Lepisosteus oculatus: one gene and its partner. The main gene of each other region encodes a partner of the protein of the gene in region 2 in a complex. Links are inferred from orthologs where the notes say so. Each region holds a gene or a part of one and is shown on either strand. Other genes may lie near its edges.

Region 1 (7,586 bases), on a different chromosome or scaffold from region 2:
TTTTTTCCTCTCTGCGTGTGCGTGTTTCTGGTCTGCGCTGCTGGCGGAGTGCAGCCAGCTGTGTAAACCGGCCCAGACCGCGGGGCAGGATCGCTGTGTCAGCAGGCTGTGGCTGCGGGGAGAGACGAAAACACGCCGGGAGAGAGGAGAGAAAAAACAACAAGGAGAAACGGCAAAGAGAGCCGAGGGAGGGGGATGAAAGGAACAGAATACTTGAAACCTTGTTGTTGAATCCGAGGGAGGGGAGAAGGGATGTGGGAGAGAACAAGGTTTACCGTAAGGCAAGGAGAGGGAGGACACAGTCGGAGACGAAGGGGAAGAAGGAGAGGGTGAAAAATGACTCGGCATCAACAGTGAAAGAGGCCTCGGGATACAAGCGTATGGTGAAACTGTATTAAAAACCGAGACCAGGAAGCCCCTCTTAATACAAAGGGAGGCGGGGGTATGGAACAAGCTGCCCAGCTATGTCTTTGAAGCAGATACCCTGGTTTCTTTCACGAAACAGCTGGATAAGATCCTTGGATCAATTAGCTGCTGGGCTTCAGACAGGCTAGATTGGCCAAAGTTCCCCCCTAAATTATGTTCTTAGGAAGTTAAGAGAGCTGGGCAGAAAGATGCAAAAAAGATTAAAATCTAACTACTCAGTCACTCCTGAATATTGCTTTTAGCCTTGGAATGAGCTGGGCAGTTGTGCAGCTCCAGTGTCTCAGTCACTCGCTGTGCCTCCTGTCCTGTTCCTGTGTGAGAGCATCTCCAGGGTTCTCCTATGCCTCAGTTCATGTTGTTCGCTGGGCTTAAATACAACACTGCCTCGCTAGATATTGCAGAAATACAACCGCTTTTCTGTCAGCTCTGCTCAAAGAGGACGGACTGAATCTGCTGTCGCACAGTGCCCATCGACAAAGATCTGTGCTCAGAAGCCTACGCAACACCATAAGTCTTCCCCCTTCACTTCCTGTTGCTTAGCTTGACAGCCCAGTTAGTAATGTGTGAGGATGGGTTTGATGTATGGGCCTACTCATTTGTGAGGGTTTTGTTTCTAACAGTTTATTGGACTTAATAAAGACTTTTATAGCAAAGTAGCTCTTAACAAGTAAGCGGAAAGACTGCACTCTGCATTCCTCTATAGACTGCATGAAGAAATCAAGGGCTACCTGGGGCACTAACTAATCCTGGAATAGTGTGGGTGAGGTTGCATATGGTGATGGTCAGTGATTAACTTAACTGGCTGGGCAATTAGTAAGGACTGCGTGCTGCTGGGCAGTCCAGTATTTCCGATTGGAGTGAGAGGTCTAACATCTGTATCTCTGATGTGGCTGTTCATTGACTTTAGCACAGGAAGTCCAGTTCTGGGACAGTGCATTTTGTACCATTTATACAAAATGATTGTTAAAGCTTTGATAAATGCAGTTAGGCCATTTATGTTTTTAAAATGTTCAACAGGTAAGTAAAGATAATTTATGCACATCTGAGGCGGTAAGATCAATAAAGAAAATATATCGATGTCTTGCTAATACTTTAATTGAGGGATTGCAAATGAATTACAAGTGCACAGTAACCAACCTTTGTGCACTGCATCATAGTTTTTCCTTTACTACGACCTTGAAATTCTATGTTAAAGCACATACCTGATCATTAATCAAACCAGTTCAAAAACGTTGTCCATATAGTTCTCTGCTTTGGTTCCCATCCTCAGTTACATCAGACGCTGTTGGTATTAATTTTATTCTTGTAAGACATTGCAAGTAGTAGATAAGGTGATGTATAACACCCCCTTTGTTAGGACAACTTCTAAATCTCTTTGGCTTTGCATATTTGATTTCTTATTAAAACACTTTGTGCAATTAGGTCATTAGGATTGGAGGTGTAATACAAATCAGCCTCTGAACTTTGAGGACAGGAGTTGCTGTAGTTATCTGAACTCTTAGAAAGTCGTGTCTTGTGGTAGCCCCCAAAATGAAATGAAATCGAGGCGCAGCCCTGTTCTCATGATTCCTCAATCTGTGAGTCTGTGTCTCTCTGGACCAGTCTCCTCACACTGTCCCCTGCAGGGCTGAAGGAGGCTGAGTCAACTGCGATCTCGCAGCTAGACCTGAGCTCCTTTCACCTGGCTGGGCCCGGCCTCAGAGGCCATGGCCAGTGGTCGTGTGTGTGTTTGCGTGTTTGAGAGTGTACGTACTGTATTCTGGCTGGATGGCCGGCCTGTCGTAGTGTTATCGAAGCCCAAGTGCATTGCAATGAAGGCGAGTGCGTGGTTGATTTTGACTCTGTGGTAGGGTGAAGTGTAAGTTGTTTGTGCGTTGTGTGTCGGAGTGCCGCCTGGTTCCAGCTGAGCACCCCTGAACAGAGCCGTTTCACACAGGCCTGCCCTTACAGCTGCATGTTCCCCCGCCCGCTGCTCGCCCGCCTCGCCCCCCTGTGGAGACGCAGAAACCTTAAACCGGGACAGCTCCCCAAAATCAGCTGCCTTTTAAACCCACAAGCCTAGATTCCTGTACCTGGGTTCACAGAGAGCCACAGAATGACAGACGCCCATGTCTCACACACTAGTGTTCAGAAGCAACCATGTGCAGAGAGGAGAGGGAACAGATCTGTTCTTTATTAAAGTATAATACAGATATCATGAAGAAGTTTTTGATGGAAGGGGCAGCCATTTCCTCACACTGAAAATACTGCAAAGCTACGCCAGAGAATAGTTGAACCACTCTCCCGGTTTTGGGAAAACTGGAGTTGCAAGTCTTTCGGGAGTGTAGGAATGATATAGGAATAAAAAGAAACCATGAGAGACTCAGAGAAAACGGACTAAAGCCACCATAAGAGCATTGATCAGGCAACGGACACACCTGTACAAAGGTCCTACTAAAAGGAAGCCATAATGTTGAGAGATCTGTATCTGTTGTGGGTCATAAATGAAGATGGTTGATGGGAAAGATGTCAGGGATTTTGCTGAGGAAGAATGACCTCTGTTATTCTCCATGCATGTGATACTTGAATGGTACTGTACACACACGGACAGATATCCGGATGTGGAATTAGCATTAACCTGCAGTACCAGTGAAGCAGGGCCAAAGTGCAGCCCGTTTCCCCTTAGCTGTTGTTTAACAAGGAGCCCATAAATCTGTAACTGCCCTCGCAGAACATCGCTGACTCGGAGAGCTGTACAGTTGACGGTCACACAGCAAACCGCGTAGCGTCTGTGTAAATGAAGAGGCTCCAGCCAGGCAGTTAGGAGGTTTTCTGATTTGCTCTCTAATGTAGACGTGTCCTCTTCATTATTTCTCTGAACTTGCTTTCTGCTGAACTTCACCGCCCACTCAGTATGTGAGACATTGCTAAGATGCACCGAGTCAGTGAAATGTTTTTTTCTCATTTTGCAGAAGGTGCTCTCTGTATTAAAAACCTGAATGTAGAGAACCTGCTCCTTGTTGTGCCTGGAGCTTGAGTGTTCTATTTTGTTGCATTTAAAGAAGTGTTTTTAACTTAACTGGCAGTGCAATAGGGCAGAATCAAAACTAGCCGCATCTTTGTAACAGTTTCTAATAGTATTGCTGTTTCTCTAGATGACTAGAGATGTCTTAGTCTTAAGTAATACTTCCACAATAGTTTGGTAAACGCCTAGCTGGCTGCCCTGATGTTTTACGTTGTAGCATTTCAGCTCTAGAGTCCTGGGTTCAATTTTGGCTTTGTGCACTGTCTGTGTGGAGTCTGCATGTTCTTCCGGAGGTCTGTGTGGGTTTTCTGGCTACACAGGTGGCAGAAAGGTGCAGTGTGTTCTAAACAGGAAGCAGAACTTCAGACCTGCAGAGGAAGCTTATGAGAAAGAGTTGGGTGTAAATGTTGACGCATTATTTACATCTTCTATCCACTGTAGGGAAGCAATGAAAAAGGTCATGAAAATGTTCTGATATATAGTTAATGGGTGAATAAAAACCTAGCACGATGTTTATCGTTGTTTAATTAGGGTCGTGTCCAAAATAGGAAGGAAATAATATATTGTTATTCAGTTCTTTAATTGTATGGTAGATGAATTAGTTAATTAAGCTAGTAAAGGTTGACAAATCTATTAGCTGATTTATTGAATTTAATTTTTTTCTGTTGGGTTTTTAGGAAGATATTGAGTTTACACTTAAAACTGAAGACAAGTTGCACAATCGATTAGTCAGCACTGCAGGAAAAGGCAGGAGAATAAAGGAATTCTCCACAAACCCCCTTCTGGGCTTCATGTGCAAGTCCTAATCAACTGCAAACCAGTTCTTATCTCAAACAGACACTTTAGCTTGATTGCACAATTGGACCAGCGTGCCTTCTAATAATGCACAGCACAGGCAGCGCTCCTTTATTCCCTGGCAGCTGATCATTGCCAGCTCTTCTTGGGGCTCAATGGGTCAAGAAGAGTTTTGAGCGGTTGGTCTGCAGACCCGCTCCCAGCCAGAGGAGCCCACAGGACGATCCTGTCCTCCCCGGAGCGCTCAGCCTCCGCGCTCACAGCCAGCCTGCTGGGACGCTGGGAGGGGCGGGTCTGCCTCTCTCTCCACCCCCCTGCACTGGCAGCTCTGAGAGAGAGAGAGACAACAGTGTTTATCCCAGGTCTGTGGCAGAGGCAGGACTGCGAGAGGGCGCTCAGCAGGCTCCGCTCGGGAACGCACACCCACTCAGAGGGAGAGCTGGGGGGGGGTGGCAGACGGAGAGGAATAATTACGGGACAGCCCTCCAGAGACTTCACTGCTCAGCCTGGAGGGAGAAGGGAACCCCTCAGCAGCACGGCCGTAGGCAACGCTGAAACCAGAGCAGACTGCGAGAGGAGAGACTGGGAGAGACCACTGGGGGGGGGGGGGGAAACTGGGACTGAGGTCCTGAAGACAGCCAGCAGAGCTCCTCGGGTTGGAAAGAGCCAGTGAGCATTAGGGGTCCCAGCTAGACTAGCCAGGGTCCGCATCCGGATCAGCCACCAGCAACTGGAGGCAGGCGGACACTGCCTCTGGGAACACCGGCTGGGCAGACTGGGTACAGCCCACTGCAGACCAGCACGCCACAGGGGGGCAGAGATTGGCCGGATTGGGACTCCTGACCCGCACAGAGTGGAGTACAGGTCCAGAGGATCACCGAGGGGACAGAGTGCCGCCTAGCTCGTCGCACCTGCAGGAGTTGGAATCTGCACTCGGAGCTCCGACTGGGATCGGCACGGAGCCGGAGACTGGCCCCCAGTACTGGCACGGCTAGCTCCGAGACGCTCTCGTCTTCTTTCCTCCTGACGAACCGGCTCCGTAGGAGTGTGGAGGAGCAGTTGCATCCGGAGAGGAGAGGGGATATCTCACGGGGATCATGTGCCCAAAGAAAAGCTCGGCGCAGAGCGAAGAGGTTCCATTTTGAAGGCAGAAGATTACTGATTTTTTGCCTGCCTGCCGCCGACGACATCCCAGTCTGGAACATGCCCGGTCTGCCGGGAGAGGGGAGAGTGCAGAGTCAGTGAGACTCCCTGCCTGGATGCCTGCCTCCCCCCGGCGCCCGATGATCTCTCACTACCCCCTGGCCTCGCTGCTGTCCTGGCCCCCTGGCACCCCTGAGGCCCCCAGTCTGGGGCTGGAGCTGCTGGGGGAGGATGGCGGGGTGTCTCTGCAGAGGTACCAGCCCCGCTCCCCAGACAGCACCCCGCGACACTGGGTCAGTGAGTCCCGCCCGTCGCAGGGCAAGGAATTCTGCCCACTTTGCTTTCTTTCTCCCGTGCCGTTGGCTCGCGATCTAGCTGCCTCTGAATGTGCTGGTCTGTCTGCCTCTGGCTTGATTGGCGTGACTGCTTGGTCTTGACCGTGAATCGGAGGGGCTGTCCTGGTGTTCCCAGGTGCTGAAAGGCACTGTTCTGTTGTAAAGATTTCTCCATCACTGATCAGCAGACAGTCTGCACCAGCCTTGAGCTTTTCAGTTCTCTGCATTGTGGGGTGTTTAGGACCCTGTAGTTGAGCTGAGTCGCTGACAACCTGCAAGCGTACGACACCGATACAGAGAGGGCAAGAATGAGTTCTGTTCATTTGGTACACAGTTGGCGACAACATTGTCCAAATGTAGTGATGAAATGTTTGAAGTAACTGTTTAGATTAGAGTCTATCTCATTCACTATCATGCCATTTGATTGTCAATTTGCTCTTGTTTCGTTCTGCACACAAATTAAGCCACTGCACTGGGAGATTAAAGGGACAATAATATCTAATCACTATTTAATTTCAGTATTGTGCAAATTTGAGGATTGAGTGTTTGAAGCTACAGATCACATAGACTAAGATATGAGGTATTTGAACCACATATATTAACCCATAACCGGATGGCTTTCAAAGAGGGGAAGAGAGATCTCGGCAGCTCGTCTGGGCCTCGATCAGCCGCCTCCTGTGTTGTTCAGCCTGTGGCAGAGCTTGGAGTTAGTGGTCAGCTGGCCACACAGGGTTAATCTTGCTGGCTGGTGGCTGCAGTCTGTTTGGACAAGCTGTGGCTGTGGTGAGAGCATGCCAGGAAGGAAGGCGTTCAGTGGGAATCGAGTGCACAGTTCCTCCCCTGAACTGTGGCTGTCAGCACTTCTGGGCAGAGAAGCCTCACTGTGTCACGAGGAAGGCTGACCCCACATTCCCCAGCTCCGAAAACTGCCTGTAACTGCAGATCAGGTTGTTATGACTGTACTGTAGCTGTATTACATGGTTTCGAGTACTGTTTTGCAGCACGTTCAGTAGCTCGGAGACCCGGTGCCGTTCAGAAGGGTGTTCAGTAGCTCGAAGCCCCGGTGTCGTTCAGAAGGGTGTTCAGTAGCTCAGCGCCCCGGTGTCGTTCAGAAGGGTGTTCAGTAGCTCAGAGCCCTGGTGTCGTTCAGAAGGGTGTTCAGTAGCTCAGAGCCCAGGTGCTGTTCTGCGGGGTGTTCAGTAGCTCGAACCCCCGGTGCTGTTCAGAAGGGTGTTCAGTAGCTTGGAGCCTAGTGCCGTTCAGAAGAGTGTTCAGTCGTTTAGTGCCAGAGAACCAGACTTTTTATTGTTCAGTAGATCAGTTCCGATTGTGTTGAGTGTCGCTGGGGTTAAGAAGCCTGGGCCTCGGGGACTGCGTGAGGGCTGCTGTGTCGAAGGTGGAGTCTGAGCTGGGTGGCGGTGTGTCGTGTGCGTCTGTGTGCACACGCTGACTGCTGGCTGTCCCTGACACACAGGCCTGCTTTCCGGCTATTGTACCAGCCGGGGATCAGCCAGGACATTTTTCATTCCCTACTGACTGTATGCCCCTCCAACAGGGAGTTGGGGATTACAGGGATGGAGTGCTCCATTGTTCAGGCGCTGTGCACTCCGCACAGCGTGTGAGAGATCTCGGCCAGCTGCTGTCCTGCTGTCCTGCTAGGCAGGCCATGAGCACGCTAACATTTCTCTAGATCTCCTCAATGTTCACTGAATTCAGCTTGATGGCAATAATACTTTGATTTGCCAGGGTGTCTTTGGCAACAGCCTCATGAAATATATAGGAAACTATGAGATAAGTTAAACCATTTTGTTTCAGTTGGACAGCCCTGTGCATTCTCTTGTAAAAAAGAATCGCATGTGACAAAGGTGTGAGGTACTTGTTTT
Region 2 (7,830 bases):
TATGTTACACAACCATTAACATTAGCGTTCAAGACTTTTTCAATTTGCATATTTTTCCAACTGCGAACAAATCCTATTCCATTTCCTTGTCCTAGATCAAACACCAAAGGGAAGGGTTTTGCAGTGCAGCTTGCTATATATCTGTGGCCATCTTCCTTTCAGAACAACAATGCAGAATGAAGATTAATCAAAATCACAAAAGCCCAGATGGGCAATGGTAAAGTGATGTGCTCTCTAAACACAATCACGACAGTAAACACAAAGGAATTATGCAAGAGTCTGCAGGCAACTTGGGACACAATTCTAATTAAAAAAATGATTCTTTTTGAAGATACTGCATCAAGGGGTGCATGGGACGAGGCAGCTAAACACAAATTGTGTAACTGTACAATGCTTAGCAGCACCCATGTGATTATCCATTGCTGTGTTAAAATAAAGCACTCAGTTTTAAGGGTTTCTATGGAAAACTTTACGAGTCTTCGTTCGCCTTACCCATAACAGCTTGGATGTAAACAAAAGTTTAAGATGAACAGGATTATTTAGTACAAAACAAGCTAAAATATGCAAAGCTATTTAAGAACCATATTATCACAACAAATTAAGAACACACAAAAGATGTGGAGGATCAGATATCATATCAACCTCCCCAGTTCATTCCATTCCCCCTACTCAGTGCAGTTACAACTGTTACTCTATTGCGAAGACATAGTTTCACCCACTTGTGATCTACAAAGGCAACATTTTCATGATGCAGAATTTGAACAAGCTGTTAAAAGCTCGAGAAATGTTAAGTACCAAACGTCTTTCCGACACCCAGTTAAGGAACAGAAAGTCCGTCTTCTGCCAAAATCTGCCTTGTGTCACTAACGGGGGAATTTTAAAGTATTTTCTACCAACTGGGTAGTTCATCGCGTTTGAGTCAACGGATAAATGTTAATTAAAAGAAACATGCAATAATAGATCTAACGGGTTTTTTTATATAACGTACAATATCCTTAACCAGTGTTAGTGCTTCAAGTTAACATGTGCAGACTACCAGTCTCAACAAAATTGAGATTCCAGCCCTGAAACTGGAATCAGCCCCCAAACTCCGTAACTGTTCACATATCCGTATACATTTACTGCGTATTTTGAAAACAAAAACGTTATGCATCTTAATATTAACACATTAATTTACACTCCAGAGTAGGCAGCTAACCGTCTGCTCCACTATCACAGCAAAGTAAAAAACAAATTACTGGGTTAGCCTAGTTTAAAAATCATTCTAAATATTTAGGAATTTCTAAAAAAAAAAACACCACCACCAACACTTAAAGCAGTGTATTCACCTTACGTTTCACACGCCTGTTCATCAGCTATTAACACAGACATAGCAAAGTGACCCGACCCTAAAGTGATATAAACTGTAGCAGTTGTGTTGGGTCTGCAAATTTCTCCCCCAAAGCAGCTGAATCCGCTCCCCACCTCTGAACACGCACGGCGCCAGCCCGTCCTCCTGTGAAATTAATGGCCTCTGGTCGCCGTCAATGAAATAAAACGGGGCAAGGTCCACACGGATCTAAGGCCAGTTTCGCCGTCCTCCCCTTGGCGTGAACACCGCGCAGCGCTGCTCGCCTGGCGGTTCCTAACGCGCGTCGGGGTGGGCGCACAACAGGCCCGTGGGTGTGGAATACGTTAACACCGCGGGTTTAAAAAGAAAAACAAAACTAACACACACACACACAAATCGCGTTTGGCCGAAGGAGCCTCGGGAGAGGGGCTGCGCCGCGCCGAGCTCCATCTGCATTGCAGGGCCACGGCCGGCGAGATGGGCGTTGTGGTGTTTCTTTCACCCTTTGCCACTTCCAGCTCGATTGTCCTCGGGTACGTGTGCGATACCCATGTTGCCCCCCCCACCACCACCAAAAAAAAAAAAAAAAGAAACGTGCACTTTTTTTTTTAAAGGAAACAGCCGTTCAACGTCAGCTGGTCCAATTCAGGGTTCATTAGCCACATATTTGATCTTTTCTTTTTTTTTTTTTACCTTTTGCCTCAGGAGTTCCGCGTCCGAAGTGTCAGAAAGAAGTATCTCGTTTAGTTGCTACAGCCCTTCCTTCTGTAACGATACAGGCATCTTTGGCTTCAGTCTTTTTTTAAAAACGTGACTCGGGTCTTCATCGCGCCGAATGTAAAAAAAAAACCAAAAACCCCCCTCAAACGATAGAAACTGCGGACGGCACACAAAAATCAATTAAACTTTTCTTTTTGGTTCCTTGTTCGGCCTGACGCCTGCCTGCCCTCAGACAAAACTGGGCGGATACTTCACATCCGAGAGCTCATTTCAAACACCACTCACTTACCCAGAAAGCAAATGGGGAGAGGCCAGGAAGGAGTCCGGCTTGCTCGCTCGGTTTCTCTCCTCGGGTTTCCTTCCTTCGCGGCGTTTTCGGAATTATTTCACCATTATTCTTTCAGACTGGACGGGGAGCTAAGACACCACAAGACGAGGAGTCCCGCATTAGCCCCAGCCCTCCCGGCGGTGCAGTTAAACCAGTCCCAGTTCACACAGACCGCTTCACTACTCCCAAGGACTGGCAGAGGGCGTTACAGGCGATTACAATTTGTGAAACGAGACCTAAAAATAGAAATCCAGTATCTGCAACGAGTCCCGACTTAAAACATCGCTTATCGAGAAAACAAGAGGCTTAAACGCACGTCTCTGAATTTGTGCGTTTATTATTATGATAATAATAGGATGTCAAGAATAATACATGCTTTTACTCTTGTGAAACGGCTGACTTGTTCAAGGGAGCTCCCCCCTCATTTGTACGGAGTACGGCTAAACCATACCTCATGGGAAAACAACGTGGCTTGAAACAACACTTTAAATGACAAAAGCAGGGCAAGGTACGTTTCAGAAAGTGAAAAGACGCGATTTTCTACCCCACTTACCAAAACGCACAACTGTATGTAACGATTTTACTAGGCTAGAGCACAAGCAATTCCCAGCCACCTCTAACCTCTGCCAAATCTGTGTAAACACTGAACAGACCAGCAGCAGCAGCACAGCTTAAATAGGCTCTATAAATACACTGCTTATGCGCTTTAACTACGTCACCGCCGAGAAGGTGTCTGATTTGGCGTTTCTCTGTCAGTTACGCAATGCCCGGATGACGTCAGTACACACCGTAGCAATGTATTATTGCAAATCTTTACAGTGTGTGAACTGCGGTGAACCTGTCTGTGAGATATTAACCCTGCCCTGGACGAATAATGGCAGGAGGCGTTAAATAGCACATGATGATCAACCGAGATACTCTTTTTCTAACCTCTTAACCATTAATCTTTCCTTTGCATGAATTTCGATACACAAACACCTGCATTTTTTAATCGCTAATTTAGTATATTGTATTATTTTTCGATTGCAAGGTGGAACTGGGAATTTTTTGCTACCATAGCACCGCAAGAATTCTTTAAAGGGTAAAATATGATTTCTCTCTATTAGAAGGTACAGTGAGAGAAAATACCCTGTTCAATGGCAGTCCTTACCGATATGCAGTGAGCCAGGTGAGTCTAGACCCTGGGCAGGTCACTGAAGAAAACCCATGTGGAAAAACTGTAGGGAGAACATGCAAACACCACACAGAAGGTCCCTCAGATCCTAATTGAAACCAGGACTAGTGACACAATACTGCTGACCACCACATCACCATGTCACCTGTGTTAGATAGAAATCCCTAATACCTATTGCATGCAATTTGACCCTGCATGTTGTAAAGCAGTGACTGAGCTTTTCAAAATAGTCAAGTTGTTGAACCTGTGAAATATCTGGTTAGAAGTGAATTTAGAGAAAACTGAATCAAAACCTTGCCTTTTCCTTTACATTTTCTATCTGGGCTCTCAACATCGCAGATTAGTGATTGTGGAGTAACTTTAAGTCTTGGAATTTGCGGGGTGCTATTCAGTTCCTACCTCTGCAAGAGATAAGTCCACTGAGCTCACAGGCACTCTTTCTGATATGGTCTGGTTTCTGTCTTTTCATCTCTATTCTTCATTGGAATGCAGTTATGTGCTAAGCTGCACTGTCTAATTATCCCCCCTTGTGGCAAAATTATTTGACTTTTTTTTTGCTGCTTTCCAGTGGATGACATTCACCCTTGCCCATGCTTTTCCTCAAGGAGTGTGCAAATTCCATTTCTGAAACACGCAAAGGGACAAAATGCCTTCATAGCCATGCTATACGTTTAATAGAAAACACATCACTTCATATTGGAATCAAAATGCTGATCTGCAGTGTCTTTATTCTGCTGGAAAGCATATGGCGTGGTTCCTATACATAAGTCAGCCTGCATTCGACATACTGCACTGCACTACTTGGACATAATGTATTGCATACAGCCTGGACACATCACAGCTCTATTTATATTGAGCTCTGTCTGAGTTTATTTTATTCCATTTCTATTGCACAAGTATGTATTATTATGTAGCCTTATTTTATAACGTTAATTTTGTGATTTTTACCCCCTCCCCTCCAGTGAGCGTGCAGAAAAGACATTTCATTGCCAGCAACTACTGCTGCACACTTTATTGTTGTGCATTTGATACATAAATGTTGATTGATTGACAGCACAGTATCCACATGTGGATTGTACAGAGTGTGCAATATCTACACTCGTCTTCAAACACATAAGCCACACTCACCCATTCTTGCAAGGTGTCAGGGTGAAAGAGTGTCACTTTCAATAATGTGAGTGTGTAGTCTGTTCAGGTCATTTTGTGTGATCCTAAGTTCCTCAAAAAGTATTCAATAAAGAGAAAATGTTCAACTCTAAATGCACTTCTTCCTACAAATTTTAATTTGTGCACTTGCTTCATTTTTGGGGTCAAATAATGCCATTAGAATTGCTTTGTAAACACCTTTCCGCTGCTGTTGTTGTGGTTCACAAAGTTTCAATAACAACAATACACTTAAATAATAATAAATACATTTTAAATCCCAGAAAGGGTAAGAACATCAGAAAAGTTGTAAACGACTGGAAGCCATGCAGACCATGTAGCCCACCTGGATGCTACTTAACTGATCTAAGGATCTCTTCGAGCTCTTTGTTGAAAAAGAATGTATCAGCTTCAACAACATGGCTGGGCACAGCAGCTTCTGAGTAAAAAAGAGCCCTCCTGTTCTCAGTTTTAGATGCACTTCCATGTAGTTTTCTCACATGTCCACTCGTTTGTTCTTCACTGTTTTGTGAAGAAGTCCTGAGTTGACTTTATCAGTGTCATTAAGGATTTTGACCAGGTCTGCTCTCATCAAGATATTAAAGGTGGTGGGGTTGTGGTGCAGTGTGGCGTGGTGGCTCTGTGGTTAAGGATCCGTGCCTGTGGCTGGATGGGTGCTGGTTCGTATCTTGTAGCTGGCAGAGGAATCCTACTCTGTTGGGGCCCTGAGCAAGGCCCTTTACCCCAACTGCTCCAGTGGTGCTATATAAATGGCTGACCCTGCAGTGTGACCCCGAGGTTCTCTCCCTGTCTGTGTGTCTCATGGAGAGCAAGTTGGGGTATGTGAAAAGACAAATTCCTAATGCAAGAAATTGTATATGGCCAATAAATTGATCTTATCTTCATCTGAAGGCTTTTTTCCTTCAGCCCATCAGCCCATCAGTGCAAGGCATTCATTTTAGCCCTGGAAGGGTTATGGACTAATTCCAGAGCAGCAAAATCTTTTTGTACCATGTTTAAGAATTCTATGACAACGTTTTAAAGAATATTTACTAGTGGACAAACGTCACATAACATCACCAGATTTCATTTCTAGGTTTTTCATGACATATCCTAATATTCTGTTTCTATTGCCTGTCTATATTTGTCTACAAGATGTTTCAGAACCAAATGTCTTTTCATTCATTTAAAGCTTGTGTACAATATCAATATAACATCGTACAACTTTAAAAACCTAGATGTTTAATGAGGTGTTTTGAATTCTTGACTCCCTTTGCTTATTATCAATGATTTGAAGTGATATTAAGTCATTTCACTTTGAAGTGAAATTAGGTGCATGAGAGGAGAAGCCCAGTTCATTAAAATAAATGAATACTGCTTCAACGTTGAAAACAGCATTTATTGTACTTACAGGCCTACTGGAATAGCAATGCCAGAAATTATTTTAAGCATTTTTTGTATGAGATAATGAGATTAATATGAATGATAAGTACAATATAAATGTGTTTGATCGTAATAAAACAGAAACATACTTTGTGCTCAACCCAGTGATTTCAAGTGACCATGCAGTTAGTACCGAGATATTAAAATGCTCCTTTGAGGCAATAATTGGTCTAAACTTTTAGGTTGTATTGGCCTTGTGTTCTGGTTCGATGTCTTTCTGCATCGTGAAGTGCTGCCCAATATGTATGGAATCATTTCTTCTACCTAAGCAGACAAAATGTTTCTGTAAACTTCAGAATTCGCTCTGTTGCTGTCATTAGGTACATAATCAAAAAAATGAGTGAGCCAGTTCTGCAGGTGGTATCCCCACTACCTCCACCATGCTTCACAGATGAGACCATAATCTTCAGAGAATCTACGGTTACTTTTTTCCACTTTTTATAACTTTCTATCATTATGTTAAAAAGTTCATCACAACTTTGTTACAAGACTCATGCCTCATCTTTTTACTTCTGAGTAAAATATAATCTGTCTTTTTTTGGTCTTGATACTGATGAGTGATTTACATGTGGCTTAGGCTTTGTAATTCTGCTTTCCTACAAACTGTAACTGTGATACCTTCTCCCCTGGACTCTGCAGACTGCCAGCAATTTCACTAAAGGCTGTTAAAGGGTTTTTCTTGAGAGCTCTGATGATTTTTCCATTAACAAATTGCACATATTTGTCTTGGCTGACTTCTTCTTTGCTAATTGGTAATTAAACCCATGGTCTGTTTCTTCAGTAGATTCTACAGTACATTGTGAATTTTGGTGTGCCCATTATTGTTTCAAATATTGACTTTAAAATGCTGATTCCAAACATTGACAGCCAAGCAAAATACAGTAGTATAATAAGATGTTCACAGTTCTGTTATGAGCCTAATTGCCCAACAGCTTACAGCTGACCAACAAGAGACACCAGCCTGCCAGTTGTTCCAATACTTTTTTCTCCTTCAAATTAAAGGGGTTCAACGAGGTTCTAATCAACAGCTATGTCATCCTACAACCCATAACTGATAGCCCACTGCTGCTAAGCAGGTGTGAGCTTGGTCAGTACTTGGATGGAGACCTCCTGGGAAAAACTAAGGTTGCTGCTGGAAGAGATGTTAGTGGGGCCAGCAGGGGGTGCTCACCCTGGGGTCTATGTGGGTCCTAATGGCCCTGTATTGTGATGGGGACACTTTATTGTAAAAAGTCACTGTCCTTCAGATAAGATGTAAATCCAAGTTCCTGACTCTCTATGGTCATTAAAATTCCAAGGTGTTTCTTGAAGAGAGTAGGGGTGTTAACCCTGGTGTCCTGGACACATTTCTTATTGGTCATCATCATCATCAGTCATGGCCCCCAAATAATCCCCATCTCTGAACTGGCTTCATCACTCTGCTCTCCTCCCCACTGATAGCTGATGTGTGGTGAGCATCTGGCGGACTATGGCTGCCATCGCATCATCCAGATGGGGCTGCACACTGGTGGTGGTGGAGGGGAGTCCCCATTACCTGTAAAGCGCTTTGAGTGGAGTGTCCAGAAAAGCGCTATATAAGTGTAAGAAATTATTATTAACAAAATAAACATATTTAACTAATGTTACCTATGTTTGATTCAAATGGGGTAGAGCTTAATTGACTTTGATAATAGATTATATTATTTTTTTAAT

Evidence for each region. The genes of interacting proteins can lie anywhere in the genome.
Region 1: the proteins of kras (region 2) and rgl1 are in contact, whole or in part, in a crystal structure (PDB 7SCX), measured with the Homo sapiens proteins. The link is inferred for Lepisosteus oculatus from reciprocal best matches to the Homo sapiens genes KRAS and RGL1. Residues at the interface, in NP_001356715.1 of Homo sapiens: Ile24, Gln25, Glu31, Asp33, Pro34, Thr35, Ile36, Glu37, Asp38, Ser39, Tyr40, Arg41, Leu56, Tyr64, Met67; in NP_001284600.1 of Homo sapiens: Ile651, Arg653, Asn660, Gly661, Asn662, Met663, Tyr664, Lys665, Ser666, Ile667, Met668, Lys685, Asn687.

What each region holds. Positions count from the first base shown.
Region 1 is NC_090704.1:31,214,455-31,222,040, forward strand, and holds the start of rgl1 (ral guanine nucleotide dissociation stimulator-like 1), read left to right. Parts: upstream 1-4,579; 5' UTR 4,580-5,484; coding exon 5,485-5,661; intron 5,662-7,586. UniProt on the Homo sapiens protein: Probable guanine nucleotide exchange factor.
Region 2 is NC_090702.1:51,788,030-51,795,859, forward strand, and holds the start of kras (GTPase KRas), read right to left. Parts: upstream 3,022-7,830; 5' UTR 2,932-3,021; intron 2,615-2,931; 5' UTR 2,340-2,614; intron 2,152-2,339; 5' UTR 2,024-2,151; intron 1,885-2,023; exon of another isoform or gene 1,465-1,884; intron 1-1,464. UniProt on the Homo sapiens protein: Ras proteins bind GDP/GTP and possess intrinsic GTPase activity. Plays an important role in the regulation of cell proliferation.